Linked DNA regions of Struthio camelus. The protein of the gene in region 1 purifies or fractionates together with the protein of each later gene. This does not show direct contact. Links are inferred from orthologs where the notes say so. Each region holds a gene or a part of one and is shown in the gene's direction. Other genes may lie near its edges.

What was found. Proteins that work in one complex are often made in the same cells at the same time.
Region 2: the proteins of TMEM192 (region 1) and LAMP2 purify together in Homo sapiens (affinity purification with western blotting; 5 studies listed by BioGRID and IntAct, with this or other methods). This does not show direct contact. The link is inferred for Struthio camelus from reciprocal best matches to the Homo sapiens genes TMEM192 and LAMP2.

What each region holds. Positions count from the first base shown.
Region 1 is NC_090945.1:43,271,467-43,279,722, reverse strand, and holds the start of TMEM192 (transmembrane protein 192), read left to right. Parts: upstream 1-4,963; 5' UTR 4,964-4,996; coding exon 4,997-5,041; intron 5,042-7,969; coding exon 7,970-8,116; intron 8,117-8,256.
Region 2 is NC_090952.1:11,883,054-11,891,481, forward strand, and holds the start of LAMP2 (lysosome-associated membrane glycoprotein 2), read left to right. Parts: upstream 1-5,254; 5' UTR 5,255-5,367; coding exon 5,368-5,449; intron 5,450-8,428. UniProt on the Homo sapiens protein: Lysosomal membrane glycoprotein which plays an important role in lysosome biogenesis, lysosomal pH regulation and autophagy.

The sequences.
Region 1 (8,256 bases):
AATAAAAGAAAGTCAGTAGGAGTGTTCATTCTGTTGTTCACAGTTCTTTCATTGTCTGTTATTTCCCCTGTCTCATCTGCATTAAGCAGTTCAAATGTTTTCTCTTCAGATGTAATAACTTTTATCTACTTATTTTCATCAACTCTCTCTGGACTCCGTTATGGACACGTAGAACATTTTCCTAAATGATTGGTACTAACGAAGTGGAAGAGTTATCCACAGGCCACACCAAGCCTCCAGCATTCAAATTTGTAATTCAAAGAGCAAAAGACTTGTAAGAGTTTTTATTTAAACCAGTGTTACGCTGCTCTTCTCTTTTCAGTATCTTGCATTTAAATGAAAATGGGGCCACAGGATTTTTAATGAGTATTTTATGAAGCCAAAGGTTCACAGCAATTAGCAATTTTATCAGGTAATTAATGTGTAGAAACAGTGCCATGTTGTTCACCAGAGAAACCTTAACATGAAGCGCACCTTACGTTATGTGAAGATTGGAAATGATACACAGTGAGAAACATTCCTTTAGTTCCAATGTGTATTTACTAGTGAACTGTTTTTTTAATTTCAATAGGATTTTAAAAACTTACAGAGGCTTGAGATAACTGTGATGTGTCTGTAACCTGAGGCCAGAACATAGGCTTCACTTACTGCAGTATGACTGCTACAATCAATTCATGCAAATATATTTGTCTTTACCGTTATTTGACCTTTTCACTTCCCATTTGTATTTTTAGTTCATGCTGATATCTGTCACAATCCCATATTCTCAGAGCAGAGACTGTATTCTTTACACAGAGCTGAATATAGTTTAAGTCCTAATTGTGCCTGCAATATGAACAAGAAATAGAAATAATGAATACCCCTTACAGCTTAATGTGGAAAACATTGGGAGCCCAGTCCTGCTTCTGTTAATGCCAAATTGTACATAAAGTTGCAAGAGGAAAAAGAGTAAGCTTTAGGCCTCTTTGTCAGGATACAACTGTGAAATTTAGTCCTCAAATATTGTAGTTATTACTGACATGGAAGGGCTTATGTCTAAGTACAGGAATTAAACCTGGGCATGCTCTAACCTATGTTAGTTTTCCTAAAGGGTAGTCTGAAAATAAGGACATCATAGCATGACATTTTTGGGCCATACCATGTCTTTTTTACCTTATTTTTATCAGACTCTTTCACCGTTGGAGTTGCAGAGGAAGTAACGTAAGAACGGGCCTCATTTCACACTCAGACTCTCAGCACTGGATCCACCCTCACTAGCAGAGATTCAAGTCAGGTACACTAAAATGACAATGTCTGCAAAATCTGCCAGAGGTTGAAACAGGAATTCAGCAGAAGAGAAAGAACTACTCTATTTACATTACTAAAACCTCTGACACTAAAAATTACCTGTGAATCTAGTAACTCATTTGATTGACCAAAACACAGCACAGATTGTCACACTAAGAACAAGAATAGAATACTATGATAATAATTACATTCATATTTTAAGTATGCTGGTTGAAAATTGTAGTCACATATTTCTGAAAATGCTAACTAATCTTGTATACAATAAATATTTGTGCATTTGAAATATTTAAGCTTTTAATTTTTACCCAACTGTGCCCTTTAGTAACCCTTTGAAAACACTTCATTTTAAACTCGGTAGAAACATTACTCACAAGTATATACAAAATTATACATATTCAAATGACTGTTGATAGATGTAACCCTGCTGGGACTTTAGGTATCTAAAATTATACTTCAAATAATTTATGTATTTGATTTAATCTCAAACACATGCATAATTGCCTACATCATGCATATTTTCTATTACATATCTGTTTGCAAGCCATTGAATAGAGGTGTTTTGTAAGTATACAGCAGTTTGCAGTAATGGATTCTAGATGAGACCAGAGATTGCTTGCTATACAAGATGATCTCTAAACAAGCACAGAGAAGTGACAGCTGCTTAGCAGCAGCTATGTTCTTTTTTTATATATTACGCTACTGACATAATGTAGAGGAATTTCGTGTTTTCTCACCTGATTGTATTGGATGTATGCATGCAAAAAGAGGTTGAAAACAAGACTACAGCTAGCATACACTATTTTACTGAGGCTGGCAAGAGGATGAATAAGAATGCCTCTACAACTGAAATTATTGTGCTAATAAATAGTTATACAAAGTAACAATTGTTACACAGACCTTGTGCATCCAAGTAACGAATGGAGTGCCAGGTTACTGGCTTCTTGGATCACAGATTGCTGCACAATTGTTCTAAATCACTTAACTTTTTCGATTATATCTGTCCCCCACACACGCTATTTCAGCTCAAGTTATCATCCATGCTAAATTCAGAATCCAAACTCCCAAATTAAGGAGTAAAACATATGTGTGCATTCCTAAGTAGGCACATAAGCAAGCAAGCAAACAAAATGTGGGAAATATAAGAAATAAACATGCATTTGAGCATTTTGTTTGGTCATAAATAAAAGCAATGGTAGCTAAGCAACACAAGATGATCTATGATTTTTTATGAAGGATTAAAGTGGTTTGTGATTTCTTCAAAACATTTAATGCTGTTTTGATTTAAATAGCTCTGCTGTATTTTTAAAACTAATATAAATAAGTGTATTTATATTTAAAGACAAATGTTAAAGGTATTAGCATTATTAGCCGGCACTCCAGCCGGCACTAGCTTTCTGGCTGTGTGACTAGGTGCAGCACCTTGCACACTAGTATTTCTGGTTATTCCAGAACAGACATATTAGCCAGAAGGCAGACATTGTTGTTCCTTGCACAACATACTGAACATGAAGACCTCATTCTTTTAATGCTGATTAAAAGCTGAGTCAACAAAGGAGCTATGCAGATAAGTTATACAGTTATATGAAGAAATGGGAAGCTTTAGCAGTCATAGAGCATCCTTGTAAAAATTGTGCAATCAATTTTTAAACTGATCTATTGAAATATCCTTCTCTTTAAAGTATATGGTTATTAGATCTGTGTAGGTGTAGACCACACCTGCCAAGCTAACTCTTGACAATACACATTACTCAAGACAATACACATTACAAAAGTGACACCAATTGCTGGTGCAGCAACCAGTGAATTGTGGTCTTGCTTCGGTGCCACAGAAAATTTTTGTCTTTTTTTTTCCAAGTTCTGTGACTGCTGATCAGCAGGATTTGTGTTCTACTGAGAAAGGCAGTGGGAGGGGGGAAGAGGAAGCACAATAACAAAGTGGAAAAACAGAACATTTCAGCAGAGCAAATGGAACTGGGGAGATTCACATCACAACAGCTTAATGCTTTTATAGTTGGGCTTAATCTTACTGAAACCAGCAGGTTTAATGTATGTTTTTACATTTAAGGTAGTTGCCCAAGGAGTTAAATATGTGTATCCACACAAAACAAGAATGAATGCCAGCCATGCAGCATGTAAATGCTTTGGGTGGGAGGGTTCCACTGGGTATTTTTCTAGAAGAGAAAAAAGTTATAGAAATAGAGACAATAAGCTTGAGACTGAAGTTTATACCTCAAAAAAGCAGTTTTTCCTTTTGGGGCTGTTTCAGAAAGTCAAAGTCCTGGCTTCTCTTAACAACATGAAGACTGCTTCCAACCTGAAGATGATACAACCTTGCTTTCTTTCAAGCCACTGTCACAGCTCTGATCCCCTGCAGTGCCCTCAGTAACACCAGGCTAAAGTTCAGGGATGGTCAAATAAGGCAAATTAAAGGTTAAGAAGTATTAGCAAAGAAACAGAGCACCAAGCAGATAATAAATATGCCACTTTGTAAATTCCTGCTATGCACACACTTGAACGTTATGTGCGGTGCTGATCCTTCCTATTTTAGAAAGGATACAGCTGAAACATTTCAGAGAAGCTAACAAAGATTATCAAAGGTTGGGACAACCTCTGTGTGAAGAATGACTAATTAGCCAGGAGTGTTCAGCTTCCACAGGGAGTCAAGGGGTAGTAAGAGAGACATCCATAAAACGGGTAGCAGGGACACTGTGAATGGGGATCAGCTGCGCTTTGGCTCTCCCAGTACAAGAACAAAGGGTTATAACATGAAATTAGGACTTGGCAGGTTTAAAAGGAAACGTGTTTCTCCACAAAATACGTAACTGAGCTAGAAACATCTTTTGACCGAGATCTTGCGCACATTTAAATTTTACATGGTCTAATGGGGCAACAGGACTTCACAGAAGAGAAATACGCTGGAAATGATTAAGTACGTAGACGCTGTCCCTTTCTCGAAAATTCCCTGAGATACCAGTTGTTAGGGATGATAAAACATTCTGCAGAGCAAGCTGAAAATAACTTTGCAGCGGCTCAACTCTCTTATTTTTCCCTAGGCAGCGACTGTTTGTTGCCGTTACGGACAGGGCAGATAACAGAGACAAAACACAGGGCTGGGCAGTAAGAGTGCTGTTATTGACCTCGCCTAGGCGGATGCCATCCTCGGCCGACGCCACATCACCCTCACCCCTCAGGGAGGAAGGCCCGCCGGCAGCTGCAGGCCCCGGCCGGCGCTGGCCAAGGCGCAGACCCAGCACGGCCCTTCCCCTCCCAGCACCACCACCTCACGCCTCGGCCGCACAACGGCTTTCAGGGCAACGGGCTGCCGGCCTGCTTTAACTGCTCGCTTCTTTAAAATCCAGCCTCAAGCTGCGCGACAAAGGCCACCGACCTATGTCGTTTAACAACAGGAGGCACCGCCAGCGCAGGCTTGGGGCACGCGTCTTTGGGCCCTGCCGCCGCTGCACGGGGCCTGGGGCGCCGCCATGACACCACCTGCCCCGCAGGGCGCCACCAGCCCCTCGCCCCGGGCCGCGCCGTGGGCGCCCCCCACGCAGACACGGCCCCGCCGCCGCCCCCGCCCCGGCGCGGCCCAGGCCCAATAGCAGCCGGGGGCGGTCATGGCGGGGCGGGGCGGGGAGGTGGGGTTTGCGCTTGGCGCAGGCGGGCGCCGATTAAATGCAGCTGGGGAGGCGGGGGAAGGGGCGCGGAGATGGCGGTGACGGGAGTCGGGCGGCAGCAGCGGGACTTGGACAACGTGAGCGCGGGCCTGCGCGGGGGCGGGAGGGAGGCCGCGTGTCCGGGCGCCGCGGCGGGGCCGACCGCCGCCGCCTCCTCGGAGGTGGCGGGCGGGGGGGCGCCTGGGGAGGCCGCTAGCGGGGCCCGGCGGGCGGGGAGGTCCGGGCCCGGCGCTCCTCGCCGTCCTGGCGGCCGCCCCAGGCTTTCTCTTCCCCTCGGGGGCAGGCGGCGGGCAGCGCAGCTGAGCGGGGCGTATCTCCGGCTGCCGCTTCCAGAGGGAGACGCCGCCTGCCTGGGGCGGCGCGACCCGGCCGGCCCGGCCCGGCCGCGGGGCTGGTGGCAGGCCCGGCCCGCCTTGTCTGTAATCGGGGTTCTTGACCGAAGTGCTTGTGTGGCTTTGGTTTCTCCGTGTGCCGCGGTTTTGTTTTTGTTTTTATTTTTTTTTTGGTGTGGTCGGTGCTGGGCAGGGCCTGGAGCTGGCAGGGCTGCCTTAACCTGCGTTTGCATTAACATCTGTGACTAACAGAAGTCGCTCTTTTTTCTTCCCCCCTTTTTTATTATGTTTTGATTAGGCTTTTAATAGTAGTGGTTATAGCTCATTCTAATTAAGTGAAGTCTGAACTTGATCTCATTAGGATGCCTGTTAGATTTTGTTAATGTCAGATTAATTGTGTTCTCACCACTGTGTCTCTTGCTTTTATTCCCTTCCTCCCCACGCTGCCTGTAATAATAACTCTTCTGGGAGGTTATGGCCTTCAGTGTTTCCTGATGTTTGCTGTATTTCACTGTGTGAAGATGAGCTGCAGGCTCTCATACAAAGCAGTGTGGCCCAACAGCTGATAAAGCTCTGCCTATGAAGGAATAAATTGAATTGTCATTGAATTTTACAAGTGGTCATGTATTTCTGTGACACAAAGGATATCATCCAGACTAGCAAAGATGGTTGTTCTGGTGGGAGGAGTGAGCTGTTGACCCTGTGCATTAGGGAGGGCAAAGTAGAGATGTTTTGGTTGCTGACATGCCTGTCCTACATGCTCACTTCCAGACTTTAAAGATCCACCTGGTCCCTGAACAGGGGTTGTGTGGGTCAGAGGCTATACCAGTAACATGAACAGTCCAATAACATGTGCAGATCTTCAGGTCTGCAGTAAAACATTGTTTTACCAGGTGAGTATTTTAGGAAGGCTTGCTTACAGACGACAAGCCTAATCAGAAGGTTGAAAGGAATCAAGTGAGGAGAACACGTTCAGTCTTCTGTGGTAGGTGGTGAGTGTTGTGTGCACACTACTAAAGTAAAATTAAACACTGACTGAAATAACTATTGAAACTAGCTCCTTCATTGTAGGCAGGCAGCTGTATGTAGGAGAAACAAGATTGGGGAGCCAATAGATAGGTGCACTGTTGTGGTTAATATGAAGTGTAAAGCTAATTCTAGTTTCAAAACCTTTGTTCCTCTGTCTCACATCTTTCTCCTCGTACTAGTGTCTTGAGGAATGAAATACTTAATTTCTCTTGAGCTTTGCCCTGCTTTCTATCATGGCAATGCGGAGTCCTAAGTTTTAACAACAATAAATAGTCCAGTGGGCTATGGTGTATCGCTTTGATTAGCCAGAACTCTGGAGTGGTATTGGGTCAGCTGTTCTTTCTTGGCTTTGGTACCCCACCCCCCAATCCATAGCAATAGAAGCACTTCCAGCAAAAAGCAACCACTGGTAGTGCTTTCTAGATGGTCACTTTCTAACTTCTGCTGATCATCTCTGGAAACCCCTTTGATAATGCTCTCGGCAGGGGTTTCTCCGCTCTGCATGCTTTATTCTGGGCTGTGACTGGCCTCATTGCAGAGGAGACCAGGCAAAACTTTACCAGGGACCTTATTTTTCAAAGCAAACAAGGTATAGCATGGAAAGTAACAGGATGCCAAGGGAGAAACTTGAGTTTGAGTCACTGGCAAGCATGTTGTTCATTCATAATGGCTGTGTACATTCAACTTCAGGTGTGCCAAATGGCTGTATTCTAGTTTGGAAGTGACAAAGATAAAGGCCACTAGGGCAACTTTTTTGTCTGTTAGGAAAGGTGTTCCTGCCACCCATACTTATTTTTAAAAACTGCAAAAATTACTCTGGGAAACATACATAGCCAAAACATGAGCTCATGTGAAGTCAAAGAAGGCTGCTGATACTCCCTAGTGGAAGTAGGGAGTGTTTTGACCTGTACCTGGAGCACCTCCCTGCTTCTGCACTGCCTTTTTGCTCTTGCCTGGATTCAGTTTGAACCAGCTGACACTTACTGAAGAAATATTTGTATGAACCTTTTGATATGGTACTAGTATTAGTAGCTGAATCACTTCAAACTGAAATTATGTGTTGCTGGTACACTGCAGCTATCTCTGTTATCTTTGTAACTTTATTTTGACAAAAGCAAGAATAAGGATTTTTGCAGGACCTATATGAAAAATGAGAGAGACCTTAATTATCAATATTTCCACCTTCCCATGTAGGCATACTAGTTCTCTGTAGCCTTTGATAGGCCACAAAGAAGTACCTCACGGAGATCTTAGCTATATGTGTGGTCATCAGGCATTGCTTTAAGTGACAACCAAAGGCAAGGTTACTGTTTGGGGCTATTTTTTTTTCCATTCTTCTTATGAAGAACCTCTGTAGTAAAGTCTTATGCTTATTGAGTTCTTCATATGCTAACTAAAGTTCCTCCAGACTCATTGCAATGCTAGGTAGTAATTAGTGTCAAATTCTTGAGTGACTGAGTTATTACATAAAGGTGTGAAAAGAAATAGTTTGCTTACAACTTAGGGAGCATGTCTCCCAAGAAATTAACATAGTTCTGTCCCCAGAGCTGAAGTTTCCAGCAGGACGTTGCTGAAACTTTGTACCCTACTTCATAAGCTTCCCTGGGGTTACTTTTTCTTTTTTGTTATCCTCCCCTGCTTCAGGGTTCCTTGGAAATAACACAGAGTTTAGAAGATGATCCTCTACTTGATGCACCACTTATTTCGTCTCATGCATTGCATTCCCAACTGAGGCCAAGATTTCGTGCTATTCCAGCAGTCCTTATTGCCAATTTTCTGTTGTTCATACATGTAAGTATTAAGAAGCATGATAGCCTCATGAAAATTTACCACCTTTATTCTGAATTCTTACTGTTCATATGCACTGCAGTCTCCTGAGACCTGAATACACTGTTTTTACAAACCAAACAAAGCCTTGCTCTCCAGTGAAT
Region 2 (8,428 bases), on another chromosome or scaffold:
ACCAGCATCTGATTAAACCAAGCTGCACTTATACAAGCATGGTTTTATAATATGCTTGTGACAAAAATACTGCCTCCTGTACCTCCACTCCTTCCTGCTAAGCTGGGAACGTGTTTTCCCAGCTGTGGCAGTACACTAGACCTCAGAGCTCTTTCGCAGAAGTTTTGCAGCTGTCTCTGCTGCAACCTGATCTCTGATCCCTTCGCCTCCTAACAAAGGTTTCTTTTTCTGGCATTCCACGTGATTGCCCGAGTCTTGACTCAGCAGTTTCCTGGAGCAGCGGCTTTTAATGGTTTGGTTTCCTACCACCACCTCCTCCAGAAAGCCGACAACTCAGAAACACTGCCATCTGCTCGGAACAATAATGAACCGCAGTTTTCACACATTTTAGATACTAAGCGATTGCCTTAGAGCTACCATAACAGAGCTGTCAAGAGTCATCCCTTTTCTAACACTGAGCAGACCAACATTTTCACATGCAGCTGAAACACCTCACATGTCATGCTGCGCTGGACAAAGCAGGCTCGTCATTAAGGTGTCCAGACCACAGCAAATTCCTGTGCCACAGCACAGCACAAGTAACCAAACTACAAACTGGCGCTACATGAAAAGGAAAACTTCCATAGCTTTAACTCGTGCAGTCATTGCCACAGTTTCCAGAGGGCCCCTGTGGTTCATCCGCCTCTGCCAAGTGAATCTAGGACCTGCCATTATTAACCCCATCCTCTTTCCATCAGCCCCTCCCTTGGGATATGGTGCCAAATCCTTCCTCCACCTCCTGGAAAGGTTCCGCTATTATCTGGTCTGTGAAAAAATGTACCATGGAATAACATGTTGCTTAAACAGACATCTAAAATAGTGAATACAAAACATTAGAATAAATCAGTAATTACTGCCTGCTCCAGATGTTATATTTTTTTCTTCATTTCACAACCTGTAATCTCCAGCACCGGTGATCAGAAACGCTCAGTTTATTCAGTGCTTTGTTAAACATTGCTGAGCACTTTGCTTCTGTCCACACAATCATCCCTTGATTTTCTCAAGTCTCAGGATTAAGGAAAATCTGAATACAGACATAATATCAAACCGGCTGAAAACTACTAAGAGATTCAGCAACGGATTAAGCATATGTTGGACATCAAGAATATGGTGCGAATGAAAGCCATAGAACAACCTATACATCTGAAATTAGGCATGAATTTATATTCCTCGCTGAACTGAAGCTTACAAAAGAAATCACATAGGTATCGCATATCTGTCCTCAGTACATGTTGTTGAAACTCCTGACATCAAGCTAAGTATACCAGGCAGTAAAAATGTAATGTGATACAGTGACATTACAGTCCTCATTTTCAAATCCAGCAGTAACTGCAAGGAGCGTCTTAGAAAAACAGGACCAGCTTTACCATCTATCAGTGGCTCCCACAATTATGCCAAATAAAAAATCCTATCCCCCCAGTAGGCAAAAGGCTAAGGCATTTTTTCTGCATCATACTAGCAATCATTCGCACTTTTGTCATCCAAGGAAAGCAGCTGATCGTTAAGAGTTTGCTCTTTGTTACAGAAGTCCCACTCCCACATAAATGCTGTCATCTTTAAGACCACAATAGTCAACAAGGAACTTACTCATGATAAATAAGATGCTATGGATATTTGTTAGAGATTGAATCCTACAAGTACTGAGTATATTTGCTTTTCATGGAATTTAAGAGGAATCAGATAACACCTGATCACAGCCAGTACAATCCTTTCTAAGGAAAGCTGGAGGATTTGTTGAAAAAGGGAGAGGAACACAGATTTATGTTGTTCCTTGGAGAACTACGAAGAGAAGACAGGCTTTGGAAACTGCCCAAAAATTGGCCTTGTAGGGAGAATACTGCCAAAACCAAGCTTCTGTTATCAGGCTAGGCAAGAGGAGAGTATTACTGTGCTAATGCAGGAGTGCATTGTTTTTAAGAATCACAAACATATCTTTAACGGATAATCACCACATTCAGATAGCTGAAGCATGTGGGTTTTGCTGGACAAACTCCACCCCTCATGTGAATGAAAAGTGCTTGCACCCACTCACTCCAGGTACAGTTTCACCCTTTGGAGTCTTCCCAAGGACTCCTCTCGGAAGGGCAGAAACGTATAGAGATTCCTTTCATGGCTGCCTCATCACTGCCCACATTGTAGCTAGGGACAGTCTTTAACAGTTGTGATATCAACGATATTTCTGGTGCAAAATAATATATTTTACATCATGCTAGATTATATGCACTATACTAGCCTTTTAGTCCTACACCAGTCGCTAATCTGACTCTGTGTAATTTATTAGGAACAGATTTGCTTGTTACTGTATCTACCATTTGATTTCATTTCACACTTCACTAAGCTGGCACAATGGAAACAAGGAATCACTCTTCCTTTCACTTCTGCAGATTGTCTAGTCATGTTACAGTCCATTTCTAAGGTACCGGCAAGAGATCAGAATATTATCAGAAGTAAGGGATATTCAAGACACTAGTGTTTATAAATAAAGCTCATGTCCTGAAGTAAACGTTCCAGCTGACACAAAACACGACATTGCTGCACACCAACTGCCTAGAACATATCACCCATTTTCTCCTGCTCCCGTTAGTTAAAGCCTAATTCAGTGTCGCTATCCTAATATTTAAAACCTTTCAATGGAGTTCCTGCCTGAACGATCACTCTTTAAGAACAAGATCTATTGTGACCATGTTCCATTTCACTAAAACAACAAAGCATGAGGATATGTAAAAGCATGGGAGATGGGACTCTCCCTAGCCTTTCAACTGCCCCATTTTTTGCCCTAGAGCTGAAAGCCCAAAGACTTGCTACTTTCAGGATTAGTGCTTTCATCTATGCCATTATCTATGCCATTCCATCTACACTCGAAGCTCCCCCACGGCCTACAACAAACAATGGCTCAAGTATTAAACATAAATTTTATTTCCTCAGATAAGTTTTCAGTAAATTAAGCCCAAAGGCTGAATTAAAAAAAAAAAAAACACACAAGCACTTGTGGGTGGAAGCCCCGTTTGTAAAATTCACTGGTTTCAGTGGTGTTCTAGCCTTGCCAGATTTTGTTTTGTGATATTCTTTGGAAAAGTACAGCATTACAAGTACATAACTTAGACTATTTAATTACCATATACTCATACATTGCATTATTTCAACTTCCTCAAGACTTTATGCTCGTCCTCTTGTCTACACCACCTTTATGCCTTATCTTAAGACTCTGTCTCACGATACCAGGTTGAAGTGTTTCATTGTCCTCTTCAAGAGCTTTCATTCTCTTCCTGCATCACTGGGTATATCTCTTAGATCCTGGTTAGTCAAATACCATTTGCGGTTTTCCTAGAGAAACACACATATCTTATTCCAGTAGGGCCTGCCCTTACTGAATCTAGAGCTCCTGTTTCCTCAGGCAGCTGAGAATCCTCCTGCCGTTCTCCTCGCTGTCTCCCAGTGTCAGTCTCTTCTTTCCCATCTCTTAACCATGGTTTCTGTGCCAAGACAACCTTTGTGTCTGTTTCTGATCAATACCCTCCAACCTTCAATTCAACTTCCAGCTGATTTTATATCTCCATCCAGTCTCAGATTCACCAGGTTTCATGTCCACTCTTGTCTTCTTCCCCTTCCCATCTACCCTATCGTGTGTTTTCTCCTGCACTTGCATCTGGCAGCTTCTTTCTCCTGCCTTCTTCTTTCTGTCTTGCACTTAGGCATTAGTGCAAATGCAGCAAAGCCTCCCAGTTCTTGCTGCTAATGCCAAACTCCACCCTCCTTAACAGAAGCAATTACTGGAAAGATTTCTAGCCAGTCATTTAGTAGGCACGGTACATGTGAATTCTGCTCACACACAAGAAGAGCTAGGAAGGGGCAGAGAATGGGCCTACTTCTGCAAAGGTGTGGTATAATCTCTGATTAGCCCTGGGTAATGTGAAATGATGGATAACAGAATCACAGAGATTAGAGCGGGCAGGGACATTGGGAGACTATCTAAGTCCACCTCTGCCCTACAACAGAATAATTTCCTGAAGGAAGTTTGTCTAACCTGTTTTTTAAAAAAACACAATCTGGCATGCGAATCTAGTGCAAAGCTCTACTAGTCCTTCCCCACTATCTAACGTAAATATTTGTTGTCATTTTAGCCCATTTCTCTCCCATCCTATTTATTGTAAACATGGAAAATAGTTTATTCCTTTATTTTTTTTCCAGTGGAAGTCTCTATATTAAAAGTATAATTTTTTCTTAGTGTATCTTCTCTCAGCTTTTTCTTCTTAACCTAAAAAGAGCCCAGTTAACTTCAGAACGGCTGTATGAGGTCAAAGTAAATGCCTCATAACCTGTTTCTGCAGTAGCCAATAGTGGACATGCAGGGAAGACTATAAGAAGAGAGTAAATATATAGCGCTACTTCTTTGTTACACAATGCCAGCTTTGAACAATAGGCCGGTCAGGGGCGTTCTGAGCCAGAGATGGCATTTCTGTGTTTAAAAAGTCTTTCAAGCTTTCCTCTTATAACGTATTTCTGTGCCCCTAACTCTTGCTGGATTCTCTCTTGTTCAACAATGGTGAAAGATGACGAAATCTGAGAGGAGCTCGGCCACTGAAATCTTCAAAGCCCCTTCTGAGCATGTTCACACCAGAAATCTTCAGCACTGTGAAGTCTGCAGCGGACGGTCAGAGGAACAGGAAACACCGCGTCTCTGGCTCAGAGGGCCCCTCCTTGCCAAGTCCCTGTTGCACAACATGGAAATGCTAGAGTTCACCCAAGGAAAGAAAGGTCAGCAGATTTTTGTTTATTGGATGCAAAACTTGTTTTCCCTCAGCCTTACTCATGGAAAAGGTTCAAATATGATGAGAAGGAGAGAAGGGATGGAGAAATAGAAGAAGAGCAGGGAAAAAAAAGAGAGAGAAAAGGAGAAAAAAGAAAAAAAGGAGATTTAGCCAAGAGCAGGCCTTTTTCAAGGAAAACCCGAGTCCAAGCTGACACAAATTAAAGAGTAGAGCTATACGAAGTGGAAATAGGGTCTTACAGGGGGATCGGCCGGGCACCGCGCTGCCACCCGGCGTGTGGCAGGAAAATGGCCCCCAGCCCCTGAGGCAACACCCGGACCCAAACCCCCCCCCCCCCCCGCCGCCCGCCCGAGGAGGCGCGGCGCGCGCCTCGCCCGAGAGCCATGGAATCGAGCCGGGCGGGCGCGGCGATTGGCGGAGCGCAAACAGCCCCGCCCATCCCCTCACATGACCGACGGCGACGCTTTTGCCGCGCCCGCCCGCTTCTAGGCATCCCCCCCTCCCCGCCGCTCTCCCCTCGCCGCCTCACGCAACCCCTCCGCCTGCCGCCGCCGGGAGCATGGAGCCGCGCTGGTCGCCGCGGGGGCCGCTCCGCCTGCCGCGCTGCTCCGCCTGCCTCCTGCTGCTGCTCGGCACCGCCGGTGAGGGGGCGCGCCGAGGCCTGCGGGCGCGGGGCCTGCGGGCGGGCGCGGCTGAGCTGAGCTGAGCTGAGGGGGCGACGGGCCCGCGCGCCAGGGCCGTTGGGCCGCGCGCGCGCGCGGGCGGGGGGCGGTTGTTGTCCCCGCGGCGGCTGGCGCGTGCCCCCTCCTCCCCCCCCACCCCCCGCGTCGGGCACGTGACGCGGCCTCGGGCAACGGCCGAGCGCGCGGGGGCGCCTGGGGCTGCCCGCGGCCCCTCCCCGGCGGCGGCGACGTTCGCCCCCTCCCCCCCCCCCCTCCGGCCGCCGCCGCCGCCCGGGGCTGCTCTGCCGGCTGCGCCGTCACCCGCAGAGGGAGAGTCGGGGCTGGCGCTTCTCTGCGGCGCAGCGAAGGCCCCGCTGCTCGCTGTGGGTGAGCAGCCGGCGGCGAGCGCCCGGGCCCCGGCGGCCTTGGCGGGCGAGGGCGCAGGCGAGGCCGCCGACCGGCTCCCTGCGCTCGGCGCTGCCGCTGTCAGCCCGCAGGCCGCTGCCGCCTTCCTGAGCCCTCCCGGTCGGCTCCCAGCGGCAACCGAGGCGCGTTTGGAGCTGGGGAGACCAACGGTCATACTCTCACGCGATATAGAGCGTGTTGGAATAACTCTTGTTCCCCTTAAAAAAGAAAACTCAAGTAGGAGTCAAGCAAGTGCTAGTAACGCGTTTTTATCTCTGAAGAGATGAGTTATATATGTTTATGTATTTAAGTGAGGTTTGGGATGAATTCAGGGGGTTCTCCCTTATAAAGCGTTCTCAAAGCGTGACGAGCACTTTGCAGAGTAACGTTGTCCTTTCAGGTCATGGCTTTGAGAATGGACTTGTCTGCCCCTCAGTTCACTCTGTATTTTTGTTAATACTCTCTTTGTTCCATTATAAAGCCTTATACTTAAATGCCAACTTTTGCCACTGTTTGCTGTTGCATTAAGTAGCAGTATTATACCATAGCACTCCTTTTGCATTTGTAGATGCCTTTGGTATAGTAAGGGTGAGAAAGTAGTGGGTTTTTTTTTTTTTAACAAAAAAAAAACCACACACACAAACCTTGTGTACCTTTATATCCAAAGACGCTCCTTCTATAAAGAGGTAGACTGACTAGAGGTTGCAAAAAGCCAGGCTAATCTGCTTCTGATAAATGCAATCCCTAATTTTATTAATCATGTTTTACTGTCTGCAGCACTGTTACGTGAGCAAAGCATGCAAGGAGGCTGTCTGATCTTCAGGTTTCATGAAGAGAATGCCCCTGTCCTGCAAATTCTATATTACAAATTTAGCAGTTAACTGAACGTAGTCCTCTGCTATGCTAGCACTTCCTGCCAACTGTGTTAGATGCTTGTCACGTTTGTGTCTGTGGCTTTTGAGGACATCTTCTAACTAGTTACTTAAAAGTAGATCAGATCTCTTATAGGGAAGGTGCATCTTTTGGCAGCTGGAATAAAGCTGTACTGGCAAAAATTACAGTTACTCACTGTTAAGCAGGTCAGGGCGTGTAAGGTGCTGTATGTCTGTTGGGATTATCTGTGTTGGTCAAGTCTACTGTATGCGCTTGCTAACTGTAGCATTTCTTCAGTCTTTACTGCTGCCATCTACCACCACCTGTGCTGAAGTATCCCTTTTGGAGAAGTTATTGCAAGCTACTTTCTCTGTAAGGAAAACAGTCTGAGTAGTAGTTAACTTGATACTTCTTCTTAGGATGTTTTCAGTTACTCATAGTAAATAAGCTTTCTTCCTTTTGCTCTCACCTACTAATTAATAGCAAAAATAGTTTCAGAGCTCAATTTATGTCTTTTTTCATATCTTTTTTTTTAATGAGGGTGGAAGGGACTTTCCTAATATGTAAAACAGCATTGAGAAGCCAAGAAATTGCAGTATTACAAAACAAGTTAGTAAAGTTGCTCCTGCTAGTTTTATACTGCTTTTCAAATTGTGGTAAAATAATTACTTCTAAATATACTTATCTTTTGGCTCAGTCAATAGTCTTTTAACATGCCGTGTGACATGGTGTGTTTATATTGAAGTACCATGGCTATGCTGGCTAGGTTGCAGTGGTTTCCAGAAACTTAAGGCCTGGCCCAGTTTCTTCTGAAATGAGAATGGATGGTAATACAGAACTGGTACACAGGTGCAGTAATAAATAACTCTTTAACTAAAAAATGAGCTTTTATTTAATGTTGCTGGAGCTCTAAGCTACTTCTTGGCAGTAAGTTTGTGTGCTTTGCAGTAGTAAATTGCAAAGCTGGTATCTTCTAGTGCACCATAGAACTCTGTACAAACAAAAATTCTCCTAAAAAGGCATAACAAACCGGTGGTTTGTGAATGTGCAAGCAATCTTTAGTGTTTACTGCCTTACTTTGTGGGTAGATGTACTACTTTTGTCTCTAATTCTGCTAGCTGAGGGATTTCCCTTTGTAGGTATTGCCTTACGGGGCGTTACAGCCACTGTGGAAGTTTTAACAGAATCTTCTGCTGCCTAGAAATTAATGTAAACAGGGGTCTTCAGCTACATAGCTGTTCTTGATATATGCTCCTGTATTCTTTTTTTCCTACTATTCAGAAATCTCATGAGTCCTGGAGCGTTTAGTAATTCTTATCACTGTCTTTTCCACTTGTTCACTGTCAGCCTGAAGGGATGAAGTGAGCAGAATTTCTCTCTGCCCAGAGTCAGAATTTTATTCAGTGATTAGATGATGGAGGTGAGTAAATAATTCAAAACCTTGAGAAGCAGCATGCCCTATGGAGGGTGTAAATAACATTCAGAACAATCTTTTGCTTTACTGGATTGTATTCTCCTTTTCTTCAGTCACTTCTCTAGTTTAAGTATGAGGTTCTCCAGTTAGTTAGGAGTGAGCACCTGCGAAGGCATGAAGTGGAGAAAAAGTCTCTAGTTCTGTAGAAAGATCTGCAGGTTTTAATGGATCAGCTAGACCGGTCAGGCAGACTATTGCAGGAGGGA